2 linked regions of the Kluyveromyces lactis genome follow. The protein of the gene in region 1 interacts with the protein of each later gene in a pairwise test. Links are inferred from orthologs where the notes say so. Each region holds a gene or a part of one and is shown on either strand. Other genes may lie near its edges.

What was found.
Region 2: the proteins of PHO85 (region 1) and CLG1 interact in binary tests that used the Saccharomyces cerevisiae proteins (3 or more experiments, as listed by UniProt). The link is inferred for Kluyveromyces lactis from reciprocal best matches to the Saccharomyces cerevisiae genes PHO85 and CLG1.

Annotation. Positions count from the first base shown.
Region 1 is NC_006040.1:1,021,558-1,025,289, reverse strand, and holds PHO85 (cyclin-dependent serine/threonine-protein kinase PHO85), read left to right. Parts: upstream 1-1,345; coding exon 1,346-1,362; intron 1,363-1,497; coding exon 1,498-2,395; downstream 2,396-3,732. Other genes in the region: TRM44 (tRNA (uracil) methyltransferase), read right to left, coding at 1-700; KLLA0_D11968g (uncharacterized protein), read right to left, coding at 2,508-3,620.
Region 2 is NC_006037.1:142,318-145,891, forward strand, and holds CLG1 (Clg1p), read left to right. Parts: upstream 1-1,604; coding exon 1,605-2,843; downstream 2,844-3,574. UniProt on the Saccharomyces cerevisiae protein: Cyclin partner of the cyclin-dependent kinase (CDK) PHO85. Has a role in cell integrity and polarized cell growth together with the other PCL1/PCL2 cyclin family members.

The sequences.
Region 1 (3,732 bases):
TATCCACGACAACGTCATGCATTACCCGTTTCGCATACCCATCTTTGACACCTTTCGAATGCTTGTATGCTGTTTGTAATAACCTGAAAGCAGTTCTTACCACCCGTTGTTTTGGATCGAAAAGAAGCTCTTTTTGCCCTGCGAAAGGGATATAATGCACCGATAGCTGGTGATCATGCAATAGAATCCCTACTGCAGCCACTTGTGGGATATAAAACGGACATAACTCAGCATTATCAAAATGTGGGATGTAAATTACTAAAGAGGTTGAAGCATCTGAGTTGGAATTCATAACCAAACACGTCTGATTAATGATAGCATCCTTGAATGGATTCCTCGGAACAATCCTCCTAACAAATTGGAACTTTGTGGTAACATCAGCCAACGCTATCGGTACAGATCTCGGTGCTAGATCATCGATGTTTACTTTCAATATACCCTCATCGCTTCCCAACGCGATGTCTTTCTTCTCTGATTTCACACATGAACCAGACTCTAAGTCGTATTCATTGTCTATAAGCATATCTGCACGTAGAATAACAGTCGAGTTTACATTAGGCTGCCTTATCACATTTAGCATAGCTTGTTCGAAATGTGATTTATCGAAGTCGACAGGTTCCGCTGTCGAATATAAAGATTGCCATTCTGGTCCCAAAATACTGGATTTCTCCACGGTATAATGAAGCGTATTCGAGGTCATATCAAACTTACGTCAACTCTACCTGTGCACAGTCTATATGGTTCTCTATATCCTGGTATTCCATCGAGTTCTTCGAGTCTGCGTTGAAACTGCTTATTAGTTGATGAATCGATGCCCTCTTTAAATTTTTCACTTCGAACGTTACTCATGCTCTAAAGGCACCAGGAATTCGAAGCAACATACAAGATATCTTCCTGCCTTTAGCCATATAACCACTTGGAAGTTGTTCAACATGAATATTATTATTTACTACTGTAAATGAATGGATAAGATTTCCAGGTATTAAAGCGTAATTGTGTATTTACTCCTGTCTAATATTAGAAGATCTTCAAGTAGACTTTTGTCACTGGCATTATAATTAGCAAGTACAGGGGAAAGAAGAGTTTTGAAATGGTACGCATATATAATTAGGTAGTAAACTATCTGAGATGGACGCCACAACTGCCAAACCTCAAATATTTCTGTCCTCTTCTAAGTTACTTCCTTCTGTATCCACTATTTTATTCTAGATAACACCATTCTTAAATATTTGAAGATTTCAATTCCTATTTGAATCATTATCTCTTGAACAGATGTAAAAAGAGGATCCGATAATGGTTATATAGCTCTCAGGACCATTCCAAGGATCATCAATAAACATAAACTATGGTGGCACCATCTCAGTATGCAGTTTTGTGAATATTTGATACTGGCAGCGAGGAGTACAAAGCAGATGAGTACTTCTCCTTACCACTATAACTCTGACTTTTATACTAACGCAGCAATCGTTTGTCCCCTCTACTACGCTATGAAACCAGATTCAAGCAACTTGAAAAGGTTGGTAACGGTACGTATGCTACCGTGTACAAAGGATTGAATAAGACGACTGGTGTATACGTTGCTTTGAAAGAAGTGAAATTGGATAGCGAAGAAGGAACTCCGTCAACGGCCATTAGGGAGATATCGTTGATGAAAGAGTTGAAACATGATAACATCGTGAGGCTATTCGATGTGATTCATACTGAGAATAAGTTGACGTTGGTGTTTGAATTCATGGATAATGACCTTAAGAAGTTCATGGACAATAGAAACAAGGGAAATTCTCATAAGGGCTTAGAGATGGATTTGGTGAAATATTTCCAATGGCAGTTGTTACAAGGTGTAGCGTTTTGCCATGAGAACAGGATCTTGCATCGTGATTTGAAACCTCAGAACTTGTTGATCAATAACAGAGGTCAATTGAAACTTGGTGATTTTGGGTTGGCTCGTGCATTTGGTATCCCAGTTAACACTTTCAGCAGTGAAGTGGTGACTCTTTGGTATAGGGCTCCTGATGTGTTGATGGGGTCAAGAAACTATTGCACTTCAATCGATATTTGGTCATGCGGATGTATCTTGGCTGAAATGATTATGGGGAAACCGTTATTCCCTGGTTCCAACGATGAGGAACAGTTGAAACTCATATTCGATACGATGGGTACTCCAGTGGAGCAGACATGGCCGCAAGTGACTCAATTGGCTAAATACAATCCACTTTTGCCTCCACATATGCCTCGTGATTTGAAACAGCTATTACAAAACAATACGGAGGAAGTGTTGGACGATAATGTAGTGGATCTATTGCATGGTCTATTGCAACTGAACCCAGATGCAAGACTTTCTGCAAAGGATGCCTTGAACCACCCATGGTTTGCAGAATATAACCATGCCAACTAACGATTTTAGATTTAGATAGCCTTGCTCATCTAAAGATACAAACAAACAAATAAATAAATAAATAAGTGTATAGTAATCTGTAACCATTCCTTTTACTTTTTATATTACGGATTTATTGAATTACGTTGATGCTAGGCTGTCCTCCATATTCCATAATAAGTTTCATAACATGTTTGTCCTTAACGTCGACCAAGGTTTCCCATAAGACGTCCTGAGACAATAACAATGGTCTTGTTTCTTCCAACTTGTAGAATTTATTGATGAATTTGTTCAGGACACGTATTCTCCTTCTACTAAACGCCTCTTCGTCAGTATAATCGTCTACTAATAGCAACTCATGTAACTGCTGACCAGCAGGAGTCAAATATATGTTGTTGATTAGTTCGATTAAGGGTCCATTATTATCCAAGGATTTAGAAGGTAACACCGATGAGATGTGAGTTACCAAGATAATGGCATGGAATAAATGGTTGATGTTATATTGACCTTGGTTAGTATGGAAAAACCAATGCATTAAGGTTTCTATGAGGAAATAAGGCTGCTTCACCTCGTAGTGGACGGATAGTTCAAGTATCAACTGGTTGTAAACTGGTTTCTTTAGTTGAATATCGTTTTGGAAAAAAAATTCTACCTCCGAGTAAAATATTGATGGATAATCCTGTTTCTGCAATTCCTTATGCCTAGCATCGAGTCCTGTTAGATCTCCCTCTTGAAACAGAGCCAATCTTTCCTCTTGCAGTGCAGTTAACTCTTCATGATGTCCGATATGGCCAATCTCTTGAATCAAATGAGGATTATCGTTTAAAAACGAAACATACACCGAGTTTTCGAATACCTTCCCATTCAACCCATGGAACGCAGGTACGGGACCATTCTCGTTACCTTTCGAGCTTGTTAGATCACGGTTCAAATCATGGTAGAAATTTTCCAAGATGAACCTATGCAAGAGGAAACTCGTTGGTTTCAAACATGTATAAAAGAACTTATTCACCTCGTAAAGTTCATGATTACCACTAAACACAAAGATTTTCTGGATCAATTCACTGGGCAAATCCCGTATAGTCAATGGTTTGTCTTGTACCTTACATTTTTTCCTTCGAGAAGACCTTGAAAGTAAATTCGATGACCTTCGTACTTTCGCTCTTCTGCAGATGGCCCAGTCCTCTCGGTCACTATAAACACTCTGGAAATCCTTTGTACGATACCCAGCAGCGATAAACCCCATGCTCAATACCACTAGACGACCCCTGCACTTGAGATGGTCGTATTGTACCCAGCGCTCATCTCATCTCATCTCATCTCAAGTATATGTGTCTCTGGATCGGAAATAACCAATT
Region 2 (3,574 bases), on another chromosome or scaffold:
TAAGTTTCCACTTTAGAACGAAGTTCTTTTTCTTTTTCTTCGATTTGTCAAAATGAAAGAAAAAAAAACAAGAGAAAAATATATAAATTTCAACCTATATAGTTTAAATGCTTGTTATTTTGTGTACGTACAGTTAGGTATCTTTTTGATGAGGTTTTCAGAAGGTCAACGGACAAAGTTCTTCATCACTCAAGGGATATATTATTAGGACTCGGGGAAGTATTACATTCACCAGGCCGAACCATATATCATCCTCTTTTCCCTCATCTTTTTTTCTTTTTTTTTTAATCCACCATCCATCACTTGTTTAATAAACGGTGTTTGTGAGTTGGTTTTATTTGATTTGAAATACAGAATATTCTTCGGATTTCCTGTACTTGATTCAGTTCAGTTGGATCTGTGTTGGTTTTCGGTTAGATAATCCTGTTTTATCTGTCCTAGTTTTCTTTTGGAAAGCCGCTGCGTGTCTTTGGATCTTTTTCTCCTAGTTTTTGCTACTTAGTTTAGAGAGTGAAGGAGTTAAAGAAACAATTTCAGCTATTAATTCTATCGAACATTTTTGTTGACGGATTTTATCATAGGACGTGTTCCCACCTCATTGAAGAGCGTCACTTTGCAAATTCAAATTTTGTAAAGAATTATTTTGAGAGATAAAAGCTTACTAAACAGTCTTTCTGTTTTTTCATTGGTTTGGTCTAACTCATCGTCGCACTCTGAAGATAGTTATTAGGTTAATTTGTCTTATTGTGTGTCACTGCATCTTTCTTGTTTTGGAATAAGAAAGTGTCAAGAAGAAGAAGACAAATCCGTTTTTATTTTCTCTCTCCTCTGAGAGTTGTGAATTTTAATCTCAATAAAAGACCCATCCACATACTTTTATTATTCAATCACCACCCATTAACTTCACTCGACGGTTAAATTTGTTGTTGACTGTGCAAATTGTTTTTTTTTTGTTAGTCTCCGCGTATTTTCCCTTACCAACTTTTACATTTCTTTGAGCAATTGTACCAGAAGGCTTGAATAGAGGAAAATCTAAAGTTCAGAGCAAATCACATTACTCGATACTGGTCTAATATTAGCCCTATCGTATTTCTAATCTGTGCATTTCATTACAACTTTTTCCTGCCAGTTTTATTCGACTTCGTTTCAGTTTAATCAGATTCGATTTTCCCCTGCATTTACTTGTCGTGAGAGAATAAATCTTCTGTTATAGAGAAATTATTTGACGAAGCACTATTGATTCTATTTCTTTCAATTGCCTGAAATTCAAAAGAAATCTCTCTTTTGGTTTGTTTCTACCCTGTTGTTGATCAAGTTTTTTTACGGCTGAAGGTTAAATAATAACTCTTCAGTGACTAAACTTACTCAAAGACTGAAACTACTAAATTTAAAAGAAAAAAAAATCTCCCTTTCCTCCTAAAAATCTAGGTTAATCAAGTATCGTTGAAGGGAAACTGCATACTCTAGTAACATTCGCTAGACAGTTTTCGCTTGATATCTTTATTTGATCTAGTAACTTTACTGTTTCATTTTTTTTTGTTATACTCTTTTTTATTTTTTCCTTCTCCGCTTGATAAATTGGTTTTATTTTGATAGCAGTAATCATGGCTTCTTTCATGTATTACCCAAATTATCCAGCTATGTCTGTTCAATCGAACAGCATGGCTACCCCTTACCACCATCGTTCAGGTTCTATGAACCCTAGTATGGTATCATCTATCAACGGTTACGGTTGTCCTGCAGTTAATCCTACAACAATCACCCCTCACCAAATCGATGGTATGTTTCAACCAGGACATGGTCAATCCAACTCTTTTTACTTTCCTCCACCTGGTCTATCCTATATGCAACCACCAGCTGCTCCTGTTGTTGGACATGTTCCTGGCTTGGTTCAGAATCATGGTCACCCTGTTATGCCAGGTCATTCTATGATGATGAATCAGCCTCAGGTTATGGTTCCACCTGCAAATAATCAAGTTATCCCAGAGAAAGAACAAAATGTCAATGGCGGTGTTTGCGAAGTATTGGACTATGAATTAAACACGATGTCTGATTTCGTTACTAAGAACTCATGTTTGTCATTCGGCAGTTTTGATGTTCCCGCAGATGTTATGGAACTGTTCTCGAGCAGTGTGTCCTCTGTGTTGGGATCCACTAGATTACCATCTGTTACCATCTTTTTGGCTTTGGACTATTTGATCAAGTACCTAGATCTCATCGATTGTGACTTTCAGTCTATTGGTGGTAAATCTGTCGACATCATCTATCAAAATTTGGTGGTTGCACTTGTGCTAGCCAACAAGTTCAACGATGATAAAACTTTCACCAATAAATCATGGTCTCAAGCTACTGGTATGGACTTGTTGACAATTAACCAGTACGAAAAGTCTTGGCTTAAGGCGTTTGAATGGAGGTTGTTTGAAGATAAGTTCGATACTTATGAATCTTTCCAAGAATCATACAATGCTTTCGTCAGAGAGCAGAGACTATCTGCCTATCAACAACAGCAACAGCAGCAGCAACATCAACTGAGCCCATCTTCTGTTCCAACTCACCAACGTCAGTATTCATCTGCCTCGTCGATGGCCTATGGTTATCAAACACCAAACTGTGGACATTCCTCGATGGCTTATTCATCACCGGTTTATTCTGACTTGAGAAGTTACTCCTATAATAACGGTTACCAAAAACAATTCAACTGCTCTCCACCTTCCCAATACAGCCCTAGACCAAAGAACTATGACAATGTGAACTATTATGAGCAACCTCAACAACCTTTTTGGAACGATCATCATCAACAACAACAGGTTAATCAAAACTACTACTGTTTCTCAGCTTACTGAGGAAAACGAAAATATACAACAAGACAACGTTAACAAAAAAACATTAAAAAAATAGTTCAACTATACGCGTGACGAATTGTCGGCTGATTTGGACAATGGCTGCTCATAACGAGTCTGTCTGAGTGTGCATGCACCCGACGTTCGATGATTATAAACTATTCCCATTATTAAAAACCCCCAAAAAAATGATAAAAATGCTGATAAAAATCCTAAAAAAAAAAAAGAATTAAGACTAACAACGTATGGATGTTAGCCTCTTCACTCTTCTTTTCTTTCTTCCTTTCTTTCTTTCATAAACAATGATTGTTTGAAACTTAGAAGTCCTTTTGCCTGACACATTCCTTTTTTATACCGAAAATGAAGTATGCTGAGAGCAATGGAATTTTATTACTTCTAAACAGCACTTTTTACAGACCTAATTCAGGAAGAACTTTAACTATGCCAGGAAAAAACACGCATCAACGGGGGATAATGAACCAAAATCGCAAACAATTAATAATTTGCACTTTGAAATCCTTCTCTGTCTCTCATGTTTTGCCTGTGCGCGTTTTTTTCTTAGCTCAACTGCGTTTGTTAAAATGCAGTTGACACGAAGGACAAAGGTAATGAAGATCTCTTAATTGAGTTTAAATTAACTTCATTTTAAATAACCTTCTCCTTTTGTTATTCTTTTGCAAGATTAATACACTTAACCTCGCAGGATAAATCTGCATTGATAGTTAAAACAGCTA